Linked DNA regions of Lonchura striata. The protein of the gene in region 2 binds, or shares a complex with, the protein of the main gene of each other region. Links are inferred from orthologs where the notes say so. Each region holds a gene or a part of one and is shown on either strand. Other genes may lie near its edges. The genes, in order: GATB, QRSL1 and GATC.

Region 1 (7,149 bases), on a different chromosome or scaffold from region 2:
GCCAGGAAATCCTCTTATGCCTATAATAATGGAACTTCACACTAGAAAAACAAGGATTTAATTTTTTAAACAATAAGATTAGGGTAGTACTCACCCTCAGACAAGGTTAGTGGCACTGGACTTCACCAAACACTGCCTCTGCTGTATGGGTTTACACAGACCTCAGCAGAAACAAGCCCAGTAACTTCACTTCCAGCTCAGGGTTCCAAGACAAAGGGCTGTACTGTGCCCCTAAGTGAAAGCTTTTGGGATTGCCAGCACCTGATTCAAGTCACAGATGTAGCCAATGCCCAGTGCAGCACTCCCAGGCAAGGCACACCAGGAGAAACCAGTAGAGAAAGGTGGTAATACACAGGTATTACCATGGCTGAACCAAGGTTCTCTTCAGCAACACAGCCCCTGAGGAACATTGAACTCACCTTCTACATGTAACTTACAGGTTTTTGTTACTGTTTATAGAAATTGTTTGTGCATCCATATTTCCTGTCTGAGTCTGCCCTTATTTTTCAACTCATGAGTTATAACAATTTTGGTAAATAAAATAAAATGGCACTATGTCCCAATTAGGAAATTGATGGCACTTTGATACAAGAACCCTCAAGTCATGAGGCTGTTCATATTACCCAATCTACCACTGCATGCATGCTTGCACACATGGACAGCAGATCATACAAGGCAGCTCCATTAGGTCCCTAAAGACTCTTTCCTGTGGTCAATATCCTTTCTCAGTCCTCAAGATCGACAGACATTTTTGTATTTGCCATATCCCATTACTGGTAGATAGGTGAGTTGAATCCATATTCCAGACTGAAACAGATCATTGTCACTATTAGTTCAAAGTTGCAGGAAAAAAAGAAAATTTCTCTCTTTATACCCGCAGAGGAAAAAAAAAAAGGCTTTCAAGATATAGAGGTGATCTTAAGGGCCTAAAAGTTTTAAAACATCCCTTACCATAGTTTGCTTCCAGACTTAGCAATCTGCTTTGTTACTCTTCCCTGCAGGCCAATGTCTGAATTTTTGATAGACTATGGATCTACTGTTCCAAAAGTCACAACCTCTTGCTTCAAAATCTAGCAGAGATTCCTGTCTGTTCCTTATTTCACATGCTGAAATAAGACACTGCAGGCAGCCTGTGAAGTATCTAACAAACACCCCAGTCTGAATATCCCATTCCCTGCTATACCAAAAGAAGACCTCACAGTCCCCAAAAGGAGTAAGTATGTGTGACAAGTATGACTTGCATAAAAACAGATTTTAGAGTTGAGAACCCTAGAAACTAAAATTCAGAGGGATATTCTTTCAACTAAATGGGATAGACTGCTTGTTTATGGCTTAAATTATATACTGTTGGGTTTTTGCTCTTTGTAAAATTCCAGTTTTCTCTCAGACATTGGTTAAATTCCTACAGTAACAAGAGACTCAGAGCAAACTGTCCCCTGGGTCTATCCTCTCTAAGATATGAGTCTACATAGTACTGAGCTATCCTAGCACAAATCTTTATGCAGTGCTATTTTCCTATTCTAAGCCACAGCATGATCTATAAACACACTGCAGTAAGAACAAATATGTAGCCTTTCCCACCTCAAAGTAAGCTGCTGGGAAAGACAATTATTCCCTGTGACTGACTAGCTTCTGCATATGAATGTGTGGGTTTTCATTTATTACCTCCTTGGTTACTAGCAAAAGGCTGCGAAGGTTCTTCGGATGGGATTTTTTTTCTGGGAAGGGAATTAAAATAACACTGAGATAATTTAAATCACAAACAATGGAACTTCCCAGTCTTCCTCTCTCTGTAAGACAACACCTAATACAGCTAAAAGTTCCAGAGGAATTGTTTGGGATGGATTTCAACCCTTTTGTGCTGTCTACTCGCTTCTAATATGTACAAAGGGCAGAAATCCATGCAATCAAGGCAGAGTAAGGCTTTAAGTAACATGGCTTTAATATTCATTAGGTTTTAACTTCTTAGTGACTATTTATAAAATCTTCTATTACAGCAGGAGAACAGACTTAAAAGAAAGTCAAATAATCTGAAATATACAATTTTTACCCCAGTAGAAACACTTCAGAGCTATATTTAGAACCTCTCCTGACAGCTGGGTTGAAGTGACCTGCCAATCCCTACATAGTATCAGAAAATAACTACATCCAGAGTTCATGGAGGACAATTGTAAAGAGAAAAAATTTGTTGCAGAAATAAAAACCATGTATTAAAGCTGCAGTCTGAAAAGCATTTTTCATCACAAGATATTGCATAGGCCCCTGCTAAGTCCAAATGAAAATGGTCTTTACCTCTAATCAGAATTATCAAAATTTCTTAAATGTTTAATTGGCTCAAAGACTACAGCATAGGGAAATATATTCATTTACCTCATATGTGAAGAAGTTTTCTACAGGAGAGAAGATGAAAGGCCACTCCAATGTTCTTCCCATCTCCACAACATGTACAAGATGACCTGTGGTGAGTTTTTCTCTATTGGAAAGGAATTTTTTTTTGGTCACTCTTTGTTGTACAAGAGGAGGATATTTCCCAAGAAAAGGAATGTGACAAACTAATTTTAAAAAGATAATATTGTACAAATAGCCATACATCAGTGTCTGCTGAAAGGATCTCTCAATTGGCTCTTCTTACACAGCACTTCCAGATAATTTATTAAAAATATAAACATATCAGAAAATCAGTGCTACGAAACATTGTGTATAAGCCATTTTCTTTCATTATTTAATTAGGTGAATTATTTTCTGCATGACTCAGAACCATTCAGCATCTCATACTGGATCTTGGGAAGACAAGAGGTCCTAAAGGTTCCAAGACACTCTCAAGTGCCTGTGTATACCGCTGTCCTCTGCTGGAAGCCACCAGCCTCAGCGACACGAGTGTGCCTGCCCAGCCTCTGCCGGCAGCCGCTGACAGAGCACAGGTGACATAAGCAGCAAGGGCTCATCTTCATTCCCGTTTAAGCTTCACATGGCTTGGGACGGACTGTCATTAATTCTGTTATCTCTGCAATGTAGCTATGTAAACATTAAAGAGATGTCAGATGCCCTGGACAAGACTCTTGTGAAAAATGCATATTTTACGATTGGCTTTTTGCAAATATTAAAATGAATATTATATGTGTAATGTTAGAAAGTTATGCTGTATTAATTCGCTTAAGTAGTGTGTTAAATATAGTTTTAGGTCACATCATAATGTTAAAATAGAAACTCTGCAATGTAAGATTTTTTTTACTAGCTCAAGAAAAGGGATGAGATAATCAAGAAACTCTTCTCACAGAGATAACAGTGACAGGGCACATAAAGTTACAGCCTCCCTATCGGAAAAGACAAACATTCTTCCACTTTCTCTCCGTCTTTATGGAACCACCAGGATTAAGAGGAAGAAGTTGACAAAAACCAGAAAAGTTCTTAATTTGCAAGGAATTTATGCATCATGTATGAGATAGATGAATGTGCTATTGATATTGCTGTTGAGGGGTATTCCTTTGTTCACAAGGCACGTTTTTGGCAGCATAGTGTCCAAAAACATCCGGATGTCCGTAATTCTTTGCTTTTATTGTCTTGTAATTGTCCTAACTCTAAATTTTTATTACTTTATAACCATTTTATTCTTATTAAACTTCTAAAAATTCTAAAAAGAAGTGACTGGCGTTTATCATACTCTTTATTACCAGAGCACATCCCAGCCGAGGCTGAACTTTGCTGCCCTACGGAGAAGCCAAGCTCCCAGACCTCGAGCACGTGGCACTGCAGCATTCGATGCCCTCGGCTTGCAAACGGCTGCCGATCAAAAAGGCGGCTGGTCTTGTAAAAGCGGGAGCCCCGAAGAAAACCACACACAGCGCACCGAGAGGGCGTGAGCCGGCCAACGCGTTCTAGGGAGCAGCCGAGCAGCGCTCCCACGGCTCGCTCCGGCATTCCCGGGATAAGCAAAGGACCACCGGACCCAGCTCGGCCGGCGGGGCGGGGCCGGCGCCACGGCCAGCGGCCTGACGGGAGTTGTAGTCCGCCGGCACGGCCGCACTCCGCGCCGCCATGCCGGACGGACTGCATTTCCCAGGGGGCGCTGCGGGCGGCCGGGAGCCGCTGGCGGAGCGATGGCCGCTGCGGTGGCCATGGCGGCGCGGGGGTGCGGCGGGGTCTGGCGCCGGGCGCGGCAGCGCGGCGCGGGGCAGCCGGGGCCCGGGCCCGGCCCTTTCCCCCGCGGGCAGAGGGCTGTCGCCTGTAACGCGAGAGGCGGGGCGGTGCCGGCGGGGAAGAGCGGGTACGGTGCCGGGACGGCGCGGGGAGAGCGGCCGGTGGAGCTGTTCCGCCCTGGCTCTGCCCGGCTGTGGGTCTCCGGGCGCGGGAGCGGCGGTGGCAGCGGCGGGGCCCGGTGTAAATTGGCCGTGTGAGCGGTGTGAGCGTCGGCAGCACGTTTACCCCAGCGCAGTGGGAACGGCCGCGGCGGCGGGGCCGTGGCCGGCCGGGCGGCGCGGGGAGCCCGCGGCTCGGAGCGGGAGCCGCGGGGCGCCCGAGGGGGACCCAGCCCTCAGGAGCGCGCCTCCGAGGCTTCTTCCAGCCCCACACACGCTTCTCTTCTAGCGCGGTGTGTGAGGTTTGGGTGCTGTGCCTGAAGCAGAGCATGCAGCTGAAAGTCACGGCCTGACCAAGTTCTCGTGTCCCACGAGTGTCTGCGCAGCTGATCACTTCAACAGCGGCAGAGTGTGCTGCTAATTCTTTAGAGACACAGATAAACATAATCCTTGAACAAACAAGGCAAGGAGCTCCAGGTGCCTCATCAGTGTTGTCAGTGGATTGAAGGACTGACTGGTGCACGTACCTTTTTCTCTGAGTGTAAGCCAACACACTGATTAAGCAAAACCTGGTGTAATTTTTAATGCCTTGATATGACAGAAGCGGATTTCCGAAGAATACAGGAAACTGGAATAAATTTGCCTCGGAAATGTAAAAGAAAGCCCACATTATTTCTCTAACCTTGAAGCATTTGTATGTTCGGTTAAAAATACTGAAGAATAATACTATTTAAATGAAAGAAAATGCGTTAGCTCCTTTAAACATCTGAACCTTAATCTTTCATGGTAATATTCTTCTTCCTAAAGCATCAACTGCATCACTAGTTTGGTGTGTTTGTAGGGATGTCCTCAGCTGTTGGAGGGCAGATGGAGAACTAAAATCTTGGCAGTGTAGAATGTTCACCTTTGGAAGGAACACTGTACTTCTTATATTTGTTTGATGTTTTTTCATGGCTTGCTTATCTCCTGCTATCTGGGTACTCATACTGCTGAAGTGTTCTGCCACAGAAATGCGATTTCATCAGTGAAATATTATTTGTGCCACTTCATTTTTACAAGGCCAGATAATTACTTACAGAAACTGTCAAGCAATTCATACTGTAAAGGTGACCTTTTTCTCTTGTCCATATAAAGGTTATGGATGTGAGAATTGCAATTACTTTTTAGATGATATGGAGAAGCTTTATTCTGCAGAATGCATTCAGAGAACAGTAGCTCTCTAGTTGAAATGATGATTTCTCTATTACCAGATTACTAATGTTTATGCTAATATTCTACTAACACTGCTCTGGAGAGCCACCTTTCCCAGCATGCAAGTGTCTATCTGACAGAGAATACATAATTTATTATGCCACCTGTCTGTTGTAGATTTATCAAGCTACCTGAGAAGTAATTCATATTTATGATGATTTGGGGATTTTCATGAGGCACCAAATTAGGGTTCATCCAGCATGCAAGTGTGCCTCATTAATTTCTCTGAGATTTCTCACATAAGGAAAAGTTAAAAGTTTTAAACCATTGCAATTTTTTATTACATTCTTTTTTGCATGTAATTAGCACTGCCATGTAGTCCCATAGCCTCTGTTATCCAGTATCACAGCACAGGTTTTCCTATTACAGTGTAGATGTATTTGCAACATTGTTTACAATTTTTTTACAATTACAATGTTTTAAAATAAATTAAGCGTTCCTAATACTTCTGTTTCTAGGTTTCCATGGGTTTTAACATCATCTATATTTAAATTGTTTTCCCCTTCTCCTCTTTCCTTTTCAGTCTCGTTCCGTGGGTACCAGTTGTGGGTCTGGAAATTCATGCACAGATCAGTTCCAACTCAAAACTCTTCTCTGGTTCACAAGTCCAGTTTGCAGCACCTCCCAACTCTTTGGTATCTTTCTTTGATGCCTCTTTACCAGGAACTTTACCAGTAAGTTAAGCTGCAGTTTCAATTAATGTCAGACAACTTTGTGTATGCTTCTAATATTTTATTTTTCCCAGGATTTGACTAAAGTCATATATATGACTACTTTTCCTTACTTGTCTAAATTCTGTTTCATAACATGAGATGCCTTTATATCCCCTGCAAAGGAGAAAAATCAGGAGTGTCTCTTCAACATAGTGAATGGGTTGTGGTATTTCTTTGAGGCCAGAGTGGGTGTGTTTGCTTAGTATGCCACACAGGAAATTCCTTAAATATGAGAGATGCCTAAAGCCCAGTGAGAGAAGAACATCTTAAGATTTCTGAGTGGCCATTTGATGTTATTTTGCCATATGCTTGTTTATGTAGCTGTCATTTGCCATTTGGAATGTCTCACTGAGGAGTTACTTTGATTCCTGAGAAGAATGTCTCCAATTTAGGAAAGTGTCAACCATTCCTATTTCCAGAGCAAACCAATTATTTAAAAAAAAAGTAATCTGTGTGACACATTGGAGATTAATAGGTCAGAATAACTAGCTAGCACTTAGCAATAAGGTTTATTAGTGAAAACTTAATAAGTGTTTGAATTCACAGCTTAATTATAACTGTGATGGCTATGACAGTACTACTGTGGAATTCTCTGAGTATCTAACAAGTTTAATTTAAAAATAAAAGTTAAAAAATTAGAACATAAGCTCTTACAATACAGTGAAAATAAATATTTAATAGACTTAGCATTGCCACATGCAACAACTCTGCAGAGACTAAGATGGGGTCTAATTATTTAAAGCAGAAATGTTTCACTGACTGTATTCATTAAAGTGCAGATTTGAATTCCAGTTACAGAAATGTATTTTTAAATCTAGTTGTAGCTTTGCATTACCATAAAACAGCCTCAGATAATCTAAAATTGGGAACTAATTTGTGTCTGCATTTCT
Region 2 (8,102 bases):
TTGAACATTTAGGATAGTAAGAACATTTAAACTTCTACAAGAATATTGACATTAATTAGAGTGGCATAGAATAAAAACTATGGAAAAATGACTGGAATTGGTGGAGGGTTCACAAACAATGAGAGCACACTTCAGGAAACTTGTAAAAACATAACCTGTGAAAGTATGTGTAGGTGGAACAGATAATCTCTCAGATCAATGCACCGCCAGAACTGGACTAACAGCAAGTGTTTCTGGTTAGCCCACACTAATGCCTTGAAAGAGGCAAAGAAAAATCTCACTGCTTTTAAGATGTCTTAACATTGCACTAAAGCACCAGTGAAGTAGCTTTCATCAAGGAATACATCTGCTTTGCCAAAATAAGACATTTTTGTGTGCATATACACCCTTCTACATAGCTATTTACCTACAACTACAGGAGACAAAAAGACTGACATAAAATCACACATGTAGGTAACTTCTCACCAAGTACATGATCTAAAGAAATTAGGAAACATGGCATAAATTGTCATATTTTTAAATTATTACCCTGAGAGTTCATGGAATATTATTTTGCACAACCTTTTCAACGCATTTTAAACATTTTCTTACAAGTAATATTTCAGGGGAAAAAAGGTACTATCACATAAGTCATTCACTGCTGGTTTTACAGTTCAAAATTTATAGACAGGAAATATAATATTTTACAGTACATTAAAATGGGTTTCTTGCTGACAACATAATTAAAAAATTATTTGGAATATGAAAGTAAATATTAAATCTAAAGACACATTACAAATCCAGTTTCAATTTTACTGTTAACAATCTAAACACTTACCTGAAGATTGGAAAGACAAATACATCTAGCCTATCAGTGAATCTTTAGGTTAATTCTATTTACATGTGAAAATTAAGATAATAAAAAGTCTAAACACTGAAAAATAAAAAGGTGATCTTATCTAGAATTTTATTACTAGCTGGAAGTTAATTACAATTAAGTATCTTTGAAACACCTTTAAATTTTGAATTTTCATCTCAAAACATTGTTTATCTATGGAAAAAACTATTACTCAATATTTTCATGATGAAGTTCACTATGACACATGAATGACCACTCACTTGATTGTCTTCAGAGACATGGGTGAAAAATTTAAATCGATCCAGAGTCCTTTGCAACGTGTTGCATTACAAAGTATCAGCCAAGATAAGAGGTCAGGCATCCAGACTCCTGTTGCCCAGTAATTACTTTATGACCTAAACCTGTGATGCAGCATAGTAATTTTAACTACTGTTTTTCAACCCCTGTTTTACTTCTGTCATTATTTCCATTCTGAAGATTTTGCTATCTATTTACCCAACATCCAAAGGTCAAAATAACTGAAAATTTCAATTATCAGGAGAAAAATGGTATTTGCTCCAATCTTTCACTGCATTTTTCCTCATCTGCCATTGTCAGATCAACAGACTGATAAACAAAGTCAATTTTTCTATTTGACTGGCTGCTCGTCTTGTACATTCTCCTTTTCTTTTCTTCATTCCTGACCTCATCAAAGTTCTGACCTGCAGGTCAAATAAGAGTCAGTCACCTGCTCATTTTTCTCTAAAAAGCTGGAAGACCAGTCTGCCCCAAATGGCCCATGCATGCAGGAAGTGAGTGAACCACATCTCTGTCCTTGAGAGGGATTTTTGTGAGCTGCCAGTATAACTCAGAGAATATTACATTTGGCTAGCTGTCTTAACAGGAAGACAGGCAAAGTCCCTACAAATTCCTGGAGATAACATCCTCAAATTCTCTACATAGATATACATGGGATTATGATAGAAACATAGAAGAGCCTGGGTTGGATGGAACCTCTAAGATCATCTAGTTCTAAATGCCCTGCTGTGGACAGGGACACCCTCCAATGGGGCAGGCTGCCCAGAGCTCCACCCAACATGGCCTTAAGTATTTCCACTTGTGGATGTGTGGGTATCCACAACTTCTCTGGGCATTTTTTTATCTCTATATAGGGACCTCATCTGAGCCTTCCTCTAAAGAAGCCTCTCTCAGCAGCTGTGTAGCGAGAATGCATCATCCTCAGACAACTGATCCTTAGGAATGTCACGGTATAACAGTCTTTATTGCTGCTGGACTTGTCTTAGAAGCAGCTCATCAATATAAAAATTAAGAACTTTAGTTTTAGCACCAGAACTGTTTACTTACCTTTTCCCACTACAATTATTTCGGTTCAGTCCTCCCACTTGGTTAAGTGCAGACCACGCAGTGAGACCAACATATGGTAAGGCAGCAGCTTCTGTGTGACTGAGAGACTTTGGCTTAAAAGATACCTGAAATAAAATCATTACTAAGTCACACAGCAGCTCCTATGTGACACTGAAATACTTAAAAAAGCTTTACTGAATTTCAGATTGTGTATTGCACATTTTCAGCCATCTTTAACACTAGCTAGAGTATAAATCAATCCAAGCACTAAGAAATAAAGTTACTTAGATACTGAAGAAGAAAAATGCCAGTCTTTACAACTTTGAGGTTTTGTTAGCCAGAGTTTTGGAAGTTTACCTCGTTTCCACTAGCTACCACGAACTCTGACAGAGTGCCTTGTTTCCATGGGGGAATTGCTGCCCACACCTAAAACCAAACAGGAAACAACTATCAATTTTTGTACTTTTGCACACAACTGTATGTACACAGAAGTTTCCTTTGTTAAGGAAATCTTTTTTCTAATTCACAGAATGTCCTCACTGTTTATCAGAAACCAGTTTTGGCTTATTTTGCACACAAAAAAACCCCCACAAAACAGACTAAATGTAGGACTGGAGGGCTATGTAAATAAATTGTACCATTGCATTGTGTATAAGACATAATTTTCAACTGCCCCCATACTACTCCCATGCCAGGAAAGCCCAGATTAGAGGGGTGAGGGTGGTGCAGAATCAGGATTTGCTTAGCTAAAACTGGTGAAATGTGAAAGCAACTGGTGAAGGTGAAAGCAAACAGTATCAGTATTTCTGTGGGCACCCATTAAGTACTTCTTGGGTTGAGCCGAAGTTCCTACTCCAAGTTACTCAAGAAAAATAAAAACAAATCCCTTCTCATTAGAATTCTACTTTCAATTGAAAACAAATTGGCACTTTGAGTGTGCACTTATAAACAAACAAATTCCACTCTTGCTACTGCTGCAATGGTCCAAAAACTAAAACACAGAAAGGAAATTAACTTGCAGAAACAAGTCTCTGAAAGACCATGTTTTCCAGAGAAAAAAACAAAGGGAAGAAAGTATTCCAGGAATTTACTGCCAGATAGGCCTTACTAAGAGTGTAACAGCATTAAAAAAAAATTAAGATGCGAATGAATGCTGAAGTTCTCATAGTATATTTTAACTATACATTTTGGGGGGGAAGAAAAAAAAAAAAAAAAAAAAGAGATTGGTGGTTTTACCTCATCTCCAGGTTTGAAATAGGACACACCCAGTCCACATTCCATAACAACACCAGAGACATCTCGACCAAGCGTTAGAGGAAATTCAGTCTCGCCTGTTTTGAGTTTCAGGGGATCCCGCTTCATATTTAACGCAGTTGCACCATAACCACCTGCAAAACATGGAATCAACCACAACACACCACAATTGAATGCTCATTTATTAATTGTGCAATTCCAATTAAAAAGCATTGTCATCCATAAGGTGCCTCATTTCTGTTACAACTGAAGCATGCAAAAAATCTGCAATATTTCACACTTTTACAGATTTTAGAAATAAAGAGCAAGTGTAAAAAATAATAAGGCATATCTCCTAAGATGAGTAACCTGGACTTCTATTCAGTAAGCACAGACAAATTCTGTGAAGTCTCAGAGTTACCCATCTAATAACAGTGCTCAGCCTAAAAATAGCCTGCATTTGGGCATGTATACCCACTCAAGTGCTGGGACAAGTCCACCTAAGGGCCCTATCATGCCAGAAGGTGTCTTAACAGGAATCCTCAGATAGGAAATGTCCCATCACCAAACCCCTAATTATATGGAAAAATTTTTTAAAATTCATTTATTAGAGACCCAAAACACAGATTAGAGCTCTGTCTGCAGGCTTCCTGCTATTGGCTAATTCTACTGCATCTGATTTGATATGAAAGCACTTCTACACAGGAAATATAAGGTATTCTATTACCACAATTTCCTTCTTGTGTTTCAAACCCAGAAGCTGGGGAAGAAAATCTGATTGACTGTGTCAAATACGAAGAGCCGGCCAGTGAGAGAGACAGATTTCCTGGGCGGGATAACAGCACGTCCCCAGATGCCAATTCAGGATAGGCATGGCAATGAACACCAGGGTTTGCCTTAGGTCGCACATGCCGACTTGGCAGCAACTTGGACCTCCAGCCCCATTCACCGCAAGGAGATGGGAAAATCCAGCATCACTTAGGGAGAATGCTGCTCCTTGGCCGGGCGTCTCTCAGTCGAGAGCAGCACCACAATCACTCAATTAAGAGTGCACCCTCGCAACACACACACGCACACTTTTGCCAGTGGCTTTTTGTATCGTTCTTCCCCGAGAACCTGAAAAAAGGTCGAGTTTCCAAGAGGCGGCGGTTTCCCACAGGGCTCGGGAAACACGTGTGCTGAGGCAGCCCGGGACAGTGCGGGCAGGACGGTGCCCCAGCGCAGCCCCTGCCATCCCGGCAGCCCGCCCGCGGCTGCTCGGGCTCGGCACTTACTTCTCATGCTGAGGTCGATGGGGTTCAGGCTCGCAGCGTGAACCTTAATGATGACCTCGTTCGGGAAGTGTATGATGGGGAACATCATCTCCCTGGTGAAGCGCAGCACCTCGTTGCTGCCGTACCGGTCTATGACCCAGCTGGGCATGGCGACCCGCGCCCGCGGAGAGGCGCGGAGCCCGCGGGCCGGTGCCCGCCCGTTCGCCCAGCGCAGCGCCCGCCCGCCCGCCGCTCCCCACGACAGCATAGCCAGGGCAGCCGGGCCGGGCCGGGCCGGGCTGGGCCGGGCTCGGGATGGGGATCGGGATAAGGACCAGATCGGGATCGGGCCGGGTCGCCACGGCGCGCCTCAGCGCTCAGCCCGGCGGCCCCCGCAGCCAATGGGCGGCCGCCTTCTTGGCCGCCCTGCCAATGGCGCCGCGGGGTGTTGCGGCAAGATGGCGGCGCGCGGCTGCCGCGGCGGGGGAAGGTGAGGGTCGTTCGGCGGGCGTGAGAAGGTGGCGGCGGGCAGGGGCAGCCATGCTGCGCACCTCTCTCCGACAGGTGAGTGCGGTTTGTCCACCTGCTGAGGATGCCAAAGAGCGGGGTAGGGGTGTCGAGGAGGGGGGCGGGTTCGCAAGGTGACCCGGGTCCCCTGGCGTCCCCCTTCCCCGGGGCGGCCCGGGAGAGCGCTTCCCGTGGCACCTTCCCTCAGCGGGGATGGCGCGTTCTTCCCGTTCCGCCCCGGCGCGGCCTCTGTCCCCCGGCTGCCCCGAACGACGGGCTGCGCTCTCAGGTGTCGGCGGCGTTGAAGGAAGGACGAGTCACTCCCACGGAGCTGTGCCAGCGATGCCTGGCCCTCATCAGAACCACCAAGTTTCTGAATGCGTACATTACCGTAACGGAAGAGACCGCTTTGAAGCAGGCTGAAGAATCAGAGAAGAGATATAAAAGAGGTATGTTGGTTTGTAAGTAATGTCAGTCCTTAAAAAGCTGCTGTGGAGGAGCTCTTTTTGTTAGACGAAGCACCTTTGCTTTTTAAAGGGGATGTCTTGGCTTGTCTGACTGTTGGGGGATGAGGCTCACGCTTGAGGTTTCCGTGGGTGCTCGTGGACGTACACTTGGCACTCAGGAGAGTATTTAGGCCAAAAAACAGTCTGGACTGAACAAGGCACTGCAGGTTAAATAGCCTCTGTGCCTCTTGGACAGCACTGCTGCTTGGTGTCTGCTGCTTCTTTGCCTCAGCAGTTCATTTAGAATATGTAGCCAACAGGTGCTATGAATAGGCAAATGCAGTGGTCATTCACAGGCCTCCAGGCTGGGATAGGCAAACAGCTGGCAGAACCTATTGAATTTTTAATTAAGAAAACAAATTAAAATAAAGTAGCTTTATTAATTGCAGTTAGTAATAGGAGAACAGAACAGTTTTCAGTCCCGTTATCTCCAGCATTTAGGAGATGGCCATCCTCATTTTGCCTTTGTGTTTCAAGAAAGGCAGGAAAGTTAAATTTTCACCCAATAGAGTACACAGTTTCCTTCCTGGGTGACACTTGCTGTCCTCTGGCAGCTCAATAAAATTGTCAGCCAGGTTGTTTTGCTTCCTGATGTAGGCCATTTCATTTTTGGGTTGGGTTTTTTTTTTGATGGTGGATAATCAGTTACTTGGGAAGGATTTTCTCTGCTTCAGTAGTTAATCTACTGTGTACGTCAGTTAGGCAGTGTTTATGGCTGCCATCCTAGTGATGGAGTGGATTTAGTAGCACCTATGGCTGAAATAAGTGTTGTGTGGTCCCATTGGAATGCACTCCTTTGGGATAGCCAGCCTGGATGGAAGCAGGTGGAGGGCTTAGACATGAGGTCTGGTTTGGGCACAGTGCTCAATGCTTGAGCTGGAATGGAAGACGGTTCTTGAGAATGGAACAGACAACCATCAAGTGCCAAGTGGAAAGCAATCTTGCGTCCAAAAACCACCCAAAGCGATATGTAAAATAAACAGTAATTGATGAGAACTTTATATTTATAGAGCACATTTTGCTTTAATCTCTGTTGTTTTATAATCATTCTTAATGCAGGTCAGCCACTGGGCATTCTAGATGGAATTCCTATTGCTGTAAAAGACAACTTTAATACAGCTGGCATTGAGACAACATGTGCATCAAATATGTTAAAAGGTACAGTAAAGCTTTTAAAGTAAAATCAGATCTTTTGCTCTTTAGAGGGTTTATGGACTGGAGGCTTGCAGAAATCCAAGTATTTTTGAAAAATGAGCTGGTATCATTTGAGGAAATATGTTTATCCAATTTCACTAGCCAAGTTCATCTGGTATTACAGATAGATCTTTTTCTTCTTCTAAGCATGTTATTTCTTTATAATTGTATGCATTTAAAAACATTAAAAAAACAAATAAAATAATAATAAATAATAAAACTACAATAAAATGGTTCCAAAACTTGCATTTTCCTTCACATTGCTTTTAGGTCTAGAGGAGAGCAGTCAGTACTGTTCTGCCTAGTGAAATCCAGAGACAGTCCAGTTTTGTTGTTGTTCTGTTTATAATTGGTGACTTAAATAGTTTTTTGATATGGCTGTAGGAAAAGTAGATATTAACAGTCCAACATACAATCACTCTATAATGCTTTTAAGGAATTTTTTTTTAATTTCCTAAACTCATTGTTTTTATTAACAGTTCATGAACATTTTCAAGTCATTACAATGTTTTTATAGTAAAAACAAAAGTAGGAAACATTTCTTACACCTGTTTTATTCTGTGCAAAGTAAGACTATATTAATCCTTGAGGAAGATAGCAGAAGTAAATTAGCAGACCTCTAATTTGATTATGGTTTTTTTAATAGCAGAAGAAACAAAATATGACTTCACTGTTGTAAAAGTTGTTATAGATGCTTTTCCTTAAAGCACATCCTCAGACCTGTTGTGATTGATTGCAATGAGTATTAGGAGTGATGTCCTTGTTTCTGATGAAAGTGGGAGTGAAGAAGCCCTCGTCGTCATTCACAAAGTGAATTAGTTACTACTTGAGATCTCATGTCACTGTCATAGTTCTCATCCTAGGTTATGTAAGGTCTGAGTGGTAATGATAATATCAAAATGTTCAGAGAAGCTACTAAGCTACTTGTAAAAATAATTTGCATCTCACCAGTTGCTCTTAATTATTTTGATTGTTTTCAGGTTATATTTCTCCTTACAATGCTACAGTAGTTCAGAAGTTACTGGATCAAGGAGCTGTGCTTTTAGGTAAAACAAACCTAGATGAATTTGCAATGGGGTAAGTGATGTTTATTATTTTTAATGTGCTGATTTTACATAAAATAACATACATACCATCTGTTCCAATCTACCTGTAATCCTTAACTCCTGTTTCTGTGAGGCAAGACAATAATGAATACTTACTGGAAGGACACAAAGAGCTGCATGA
Region 3 (6,736 bases), on a different chromosome or scaffold from region 2:
TTTCTACTTGAAATGCAGCTTGGGCTGCAGGGAACAAGCATCAGGCAGTCTGTTCTCACTGGAGTGTGTGGGAGCAGCACTGAACTGGCAGTTTTAAGTTTAGCCTGTGCTGCATTGGGAATGTGGGATCATCTTGTCCAAATTGTTGGTTTAGTTGCTGCCTTTAAATAGTTACTTGATGCTATTTTGGGTTAAAAGCTCCTGCAGCCATTCAGTTCCCTCTCAAATTCCTCTTCCTTTTTTTGTGTAAATAATATTGTCCCTATTCTCTCTGATGGTCAAAGGGAGAAGCCAAAATGGATAGATCAAGGGGGGACTTATCAAACTGGGAATTACCTGATATTATGATTGTGGTATTAATCATATTGTTTGATAGATATTTGAAATCTTTCCTTGTCATGATTTTTATAAACCTCATAAATTACTTAAAGGCTGAGTTTGTATATTTGTTAAACTTCAGCATTTGCAGGGTCTGAATCTTGACAAGTCTGAGGCTAAAGCATAAATACAGTGTTACAGCTTTGCAGAGAATTGGATTAGTGGTGTTAAATACAGGCTTTATTTCAATACCCTTGAAAGAATTCAAGTATCATAGTAATTACATGTTTTATGCATCTATGAGTATATTATGGATGCTTAAACAAAAAATTAGATAATTTCACAATGAAGAGTGGGACAAGGGTTTGCTCTCACCTCCAGACAGCAAATTCCCTTTGCAAATAAAAGCACCAAGATCATCTGCCATGCTGCCATCCAGCTTCAGAGACATTGAATATTTCAGCAGCACTACTAAACTTTTACACTTTCTTTCTTCTGTCTTGCAAGTGCTCTTCTTTTGACCAAAATACATGCGAGGGTGTTTCAGCTGTGACTGCACAAAACTTCACTTTCCCCAAATAAAATACTCAAAGGGTATTTAGGCTCTGGGCTGTCACTTAGAGCCCTGCAGAAAAGTCTCTCGGTCTTCCAGCTTTGGTAAAGGGATGTTACCTGAGAGAAAACAGAAAACAAGTTGTGTGAGACCAGCTGTAAGTTACCTTGTGGGCAGAACACCTTGGCATGGAAGTGTTTCTCCAGTTTACTCCATGAACAGGCTGCCTGAATACCCTGAGAAAGTCAGGAAATTAAGTCCTGCCTGACTTCCTATAAGGAATTTCTCAACATGTGCAGTAACTTCAGAGTCAGGCCAGCCTCTGTGCTGCTTCTGAACTAATAAACTGCACATTGTTTTACACAGATGGCTACATTCCTTTATTTTAGTGCTCCCCATTATTGACTAGTATTTCTGAAAGTAAATGCAGCTATGGCAGGTTATTTTCTTCAGGTTAATTCAGGTGAGATTAAGAGGTTTTTGTAAGCAAGTCAATACCTGGTGGAGCTACAAAATACTCCTCTACTTTCTCTCTGGCATTTTCCAGCAGTTCTTTGGTGCAGTTGCCTTCTGTCACATCATCTTCTCTGAGATACAAACACCTGAAGGACAAAGATTACTGATTGTTTTTAGGCTGTTCTGTGAATATGAGGTAGGAAGGGTGGCTTATCTCTGAATCTGGTTTTGGTCTCTTAAACACTGAGACAAATACTGGAACATTTTGAAGCACCCAAGAATGGCACTGGCAGGCATTTGGGGAATTATTGTAAATGCAGGTGAACTTAATGGGAAGAAATTATGACTGACTCAATTCAGAAGGCTGAATGATTTCTTTATTATAACTATGTTAAATACATTAATATACTATATAAAAAGGAAGATACTAAAACTATATACTACTTTCTCTAACACAATTCATGACCTTCTTTTGAGGGTCTAGACACAGGTGGGTTGGATTGGCCGTCAGGCTCAAACAATCCCCACCAGAATCGAATCAAGCACTCACTCTAGGTAAACAATTCTCCAAACACATTCCACATAGGAAAAACAAGCAGTAGAAATATAAATTGTTTTCTTTTTCATTTATCTCTGTACACCTCTAGAAAATCCTGAAAAAAAGAAAAATGTACTTACCACAGGGAACAGTGTGACAAGACAGATTAAAGGACTTAAGTTCACCTTTGCTTTACTCACACATAAAAATTACACGTGCCAATGACACCTTTCTCCCACACAGAACCACAAGAAGATGTTTTTGAGCAAAGGGGCCACATGCATGGTGATTCCCAGGGAAAAAAGGTCCCAGAAGCAAACAGTTTGATGCATTAACAGATAAAAAGAGGCTCGTATGATATAGCACCTGTCCTCCAGCACTGAATCCATCGGTTCCACGCCGTCGGTATTTACTTCATGGAGCTGATCAGCGAACTGGATCGCTTTGTGCAGCCGCTCCACGCCCTCCGAGTCCCGGAAATCCACCAGGGCCAGCTGCTCCAAGTGGTCCAGCACTTCCACCGACACGTTCTGCTGTACAAAAGCATCAACACGGACAAAAAAAAGGTCAAAAATTAACAAGTTTAATAGCGCTACTTCCTTTTAATTAGAAACTTGTTACACGTCAAAAGCGGAGTTCACAGAGAACCCTAAAATCGTTAATGCTGGAAAAGACCTTTAAGGTCAGCAGATCCCGGCCACCGGCAGGGACCCGCTGCTGGCTGTCGCGGCCGGCGCTGGGCGCCGTCGGCGCTGCGCGGAGCGCTCGGTGCGGCGCTGCGCGGAGCGCTCGGTGCGGCGCCGCGCGGCGCGGCCGCGGGCCGGCCCCGGCGCGGAGCCACCGCCCGAGCGGCAGCGCGCGCATCGCGGCCCCGGCGCGGCGTCACCGGTGCACCGGATGCGCGTCACGGCGCGGCCGGCGCGGCCGCCGCGATGAACAGCGTGGGCGAGGCGTGCACCGAGCTCAAGCGCGAGTACGACCAGTGCTTCAACCGCTGGTTCGCCGAGAAGTTCCTCAAGGGCGACAGCGCCGGCGATCCCTGCGGGCAGCTCTTCAAGCGCTACCAGCTCTGCGTGCAGGTGCGTCCGGCCCGGGCCCCGCTCCCCGCGCCCCGGCCGTCCTTCCCCCGCCGCCCCAGCGCGGCCTCGGGCCGCACCACTGAGCCCCACGCAGCTCCGGGCTCCTCTCGCCCTGCGCCTGGCCGTCGTTACATGGAATACTTCACAGACGTCTCCTGCACGTTTCTGTCAGGCTGACTAGTTCAGTGAGTTCTCCGTACGTCCTTCAGCAACTCTAACATTGAAGCGTTGTTCAAACCAGCCTTTAAGACTACTTTTTCTAGGTCGCTTGTGATCTGGATTATTTTGGATGATTTCTATTCAGGCAACAAGCGTCAGGACAAGAGCTTACAGAATTAAGCTGCAGCAGGGAGGTTTAGGTTGGACATCAGGAGGAATTCTCTCACAGAAGGGGTGATCCGACGTTGGAGGTGGTGCAGGCAGTGTTTAAGGAGAGCCTGGCCATTGGCGTGCTCTGGTTGACGTGGTGCTATTGCTCATGGGTCATAGGTTAGACTCGATGATCTCAGAGGTGTTTTACAGCTTAATTGATTCTGTGGTTCTGTGTTTTGTACCAAAGATAACATCATGTAGCCCTGTAAAGTGCTGAATTTAATTATTTGGTTTTTCTTCTTTTTTCAGAAAGCCATCAAGGAAAAGGACATACCCATTGAGGGCCTGGAGTTCATGGGCCCAAGTAAAGGAAAAAGTGAAAACTCCTCTTGATGTTGGCTGTATGGGTGGAGTCACTAATAGGAGCCTTTGGACTAAGCACCATCACCAGGTGTACCACAGATGCCACCTGGAGAAGACCTTTGTTAACTGCTTTCTAGGAAGTGACAAATGTTCTCTGCTTGTGAAAACAAACTGCTGAAAGAAAAAAAAAAAAAAAGACTGGATCATGTGGTAACTGCTGCCTCTTTGCCAGTGAAACTTGGTGGTGGTTCAGCATCTAACTGCTTAAAACTCCATGTGAATAACTTCCTACTGAATGTACTCTGTAATGGGGGAATGCTGCTTGGAGTGGGCTGCGGTGGGTTCTTTGTGGCTGATTTCTCTTGGTTATTTATATAACACTTGAAAGTGTTTCAAAAGAATACGAAGGGGGTTGATGTACTTTCTACCATCTCTATGCTGCTGAATTTTGGTGATGAAATTAGTTTCGTGTAATCGTGAATGCTGAAGGGTTTGAGCACTGTTTTGTGTCAGCTACAGAGATGGGTTAAGAGCACTAGTGGACCTGCAACAGCTTGGCTAAAATAAATGCAACCAGGTTATATTTTGTTCAAGTAGGTAACTGTGCAGTAGAGTCTGATTGTGCCCCCTAGGAGGGGTGGAAGTGGCCTGCTCAGCTGCTGAAGAGAAGACTCCTAATGCAGAGGTTACTTCAAGCTTTCCTGAGGTACCGACACATCCATGAACTTGAATTCTCTCTCCTTCAGCATTACATGATCCTCACACAGGGATGAAGCAAAGCTTGCCCCTCTCCTTACACCAACACAGGTAAAAAAGATATTATGGCCTGAGGACAAAAGATAACTTCATAATTCTAGAAATACAGTGAGGAAAAAAGCTTCACTCTCTGATTTTAATTACTACTAATAATTTAAAGGTTTAAAAAAAAAAAAAAAACAGCTAAAAAAGTACAGTTCTCAAACATTGTAGCTGGCCTGTCTGCACCACAGCCCCTCACAGATGCCCAGACAATGTGTCCTTGGGCCTTGTGCAGAGGATCAGGAAGTGCTGCAGCCTGAGGCTGTTGTTCTGTGCCAGTCACAGAGCCAGGTGAGCCACCCTCCTGTTCTCAGGTGCAAGGAGCTCCCACTGTGTCAGCACAGGGCTTAAATATAGCACTGAAAAAACAGGCTTTTGGCAAAGTGCAGCAGGTCTAAGGGAAGGATCTAGAAATAGCATATTGGAGACAGTTGACTCTGTAGCTTTTCTTTTTTAAGGAGTAACTCGCAAAAACAGTTTGCTTTTTTATGATCTTCATGTAGGGCTAAATGTAATGTGACTTTGTCAGCTTTAAAACAACTGTGGTGCCCATCAGTGCCTTGTACTTTCAAATAGGAAAACTTTGTCTCAACAATCTTTTACTGGTAAACAGACAAAAAAAATCACATGGAAACATGGGGAAGGGCATCCTGCACTACCACTTTGAGATTCTCTCTTGCCATCTGTCACTCCTTTCAACAGCAAGATGCCAAAGCAGCTGCTGCATTCTACCTTTTGGGAAGAACCACGTTCGTGACAGCTGAGATAGAGCTCACTTTCACATTGTGCAAAAAATATAGAAGTTATAGTAAGAACTGGAAAATGGTTGACTTGTAGTGAGCAAAAAACTTGAAAATTAAAGTTGTACTGGCACAGGCTCATGCTGTTGGCTCACTATTTTCTTTGCTTCAGGCAGCTTCTGCATGACACAGTACACATTACACAGACACAAGCAGTAGAACCAAAATTGTGTTTTCTTCTGCAAAACCTGTGTGACAGACACAGACTGCAGCTTTATGGAGAGCAGAGTGGTGAGAAAGATATGTGCTGATGTACCTGAAAATTTGAGAGCTGAAGGGGAACAATGTGAAGGCAGAGCTTAGCTCAACATCTTTGCTGCCACCCCCTCTGCCAGGAGTGACCAAGAGAAAATCACCTTCATGACTGTTAATAAATATTGCAAAAGCTGATAATGGAGAATGTGCTTCAGTATATATTGGGTTTTAATCTATGTATATGTTGTTCTGGCCGTGAGTTTAGAGTCATCAGTTAAACCAGACACGAAGAATATGAAATTGATTCATGTCCTGTGCCAAATGCATTCGTGTTGTTTGTTACAGACATAGGAACATGTGTTTCCATTCAGGCAGTCAAGCCCCTTTGCTCATGCACTCTGTCCTGTGGGTAACCTTAATGCTTTATGCCAACACAACTAAAAATCTCCTAAGGATTCAGGTAAACAAGTCAAATCCCAAATTCATGTTCAGAGTTGTTTATTTAAAGGGCCCCATCACAAATGCACACGGGGGCCAGTACACCACTCAGCTTCATCTCAGAAGAAACAGTTTCTGTAACTATGACCCCAGAAATGATGGTTCCCATTCAGCATTCTGGTTCAATATGGGGAGAGCCAAAGTTCCGGCTGTTGTCAGGATCTTGGTTTTAATCTTCATAACCGGTTGGGAGAGCGTTAACGTGGGGGTTGTGAAACAGAGTTTTATTCCCATCACCCCAGGGGAAACGCTGTTAAAAGAAGAAAGAAAATAAGCCAGTGGTAGCTCTGAACAACCCCTACAAGCACCTGAAACCAAGAACAGTACAGACTCAAACATCAATTCTCCCAGGCAATTAGTGACAGGCTATGAGGAAATGGCCTCAAGCTGTGCCACAGAAGGTTCAAGCTGGACATCAGGAGGGATTTCTTCATGAAAAGGGTTGCTAAACATTGGGACAAATTGCCCAGGCTACTGGGGTCACCATCCCTGGAGGTGTTTGGGTATAGACTGGATGTAGCACTTAGTGCCATCATCTGGGCCACAGGGTGGAGATGAGTCAAAGGTAGGGCTCCATCTCAGAAGACTTTTCTAACCTAAATGATTTTATGATCACACAGCTAGACAGGCTGATAAATTAAGCAAGCTGGCTCCCAGGATGTAGGAAGCAAGAGTTGGAAAACTCTCTCCCTTAGCTGGGAGCCAGAGTCTCTGAACAGCACAATCTTTGCTCTTAAACATCCACTGTGTTGTATTACGAGGACCCCAATTTTGAGTACTTGGGATCTCCACTGCTACCTTTTAGATCTGTGTTACTTTAAGTACA

What was found.
Region 1: QRSL1 (region 2) and GATB share a complex: the UniProt entries of both Homo sapiens proteins name them as parts of the heterotrimeric GatCAB amidotransferase (AdT) complex. The link is inferred for Lonchura striata from reciprocal best matches to the Homo sapiens genes QRSL1 and GATB.
Region 3: QRSL1 (region 2) and GATC share a complex: the UniProt entries of both Homo sapiens proteins name them as parts of the heterotrimeric GatCAB amidotransferase (AdT) complex. The link is inferred for Lonchura striata from reciprocal best matches to the Homo sapiens genes QRSL1 and GATC.

The regions. Positions count from the first base shown.
Region 1 is NC_134606.1:43,467,369-43,474,517, forward strand, and holds the start of GATB (glutamyl-tRNA(Gln) amidotransferase subunit B, mitochondrial), read left to right. Parts: upstream 1-4,115; coding exon 4,116-4,264; intron 4,265-6,069; coding exon 6,070-6,220; intron 6,221-7,149. UniProt on the Homo sapiens protein: Allows the formation of correctly charged Gln-tRNA(Gln) through the transamidation of misacylated Glu-tRNA(Gln) in the mitochondria. The reaction takes place in the presence of glutamine and ATP through an activated gamma-phospho-Glu-tRNA(Gln).
Region 2 is NC_134605.1:70,564,839-70,572,940, reverse strand, and holds the start of QRSL1 (glutamyl-tRNA(Gln) amidotransferase subunit A, mitochondrial), read left to right. Parts: upstream 1-5,101; 5' UTR 5,102-5,208; coding exon 5,209-5,232; intron 5,233-5,464; coding exon 5,465-5,624; intron 5,625-6,740; coding exon 6,741-6,839; intron 6,840-7,855; coding exon 7,856-7,952; intron 7,953-8,102. Other genes in the region: RTN4IP1 (NAD(P)H oxidoreductase RTN4IP1, mitochondrial), read right to left, coding at 2,183-2,307, 2,540-2,608, 3,419-3,570, 4,690-4,936. UniProt on the Homo sapiens protein: Allows the formation of correctly charged Gln-tRNA(Gln) through the transamidation of misacylated Glu-tRNA(Gln) in the mitochondria. The reaction takes place in the presence of glutamine and ATP through an activated gamma-phospho-Glu-tRNA(Gln).
Region 3 is NC_134620.1:4,812,770-4,819,505, forward strand, and holds GATC (glutamyl-tRNA(Gln) amidotransferase subunit C, mitochondrial), read right to left. Parts: upstream 2,730-6,736; coding exon 2,541-2,729; intron 2,399-2,540; coding exon 2,232-2,398; intron 1,474-2,231; coding exon 1,370-1,473; intron 991-1,369; coding exon 932-990; 3' UTR 537-931; downstream 1-536. Other genes in the region: TRIAP1 (TP53-regulated inhibitor of apoptosis 1), read left to right, coding at 2,798-2,944, 3,566-3,649; COX6A1 (cytochrome c oxidase subunit 6A1, mitochondrial), read right to left, coding at 6,080-6,160. UniProt on the Homo sapiens protein: Allows the formation of correctly charged Gln-tRNA(Gln) through the transamidation of misacylated Glu-tRNA(Gln) in the mitochondria. The reaction takes place in the presence of glutamine and ATP through an activated gamma-phospho-Glu-tRNA(Gln).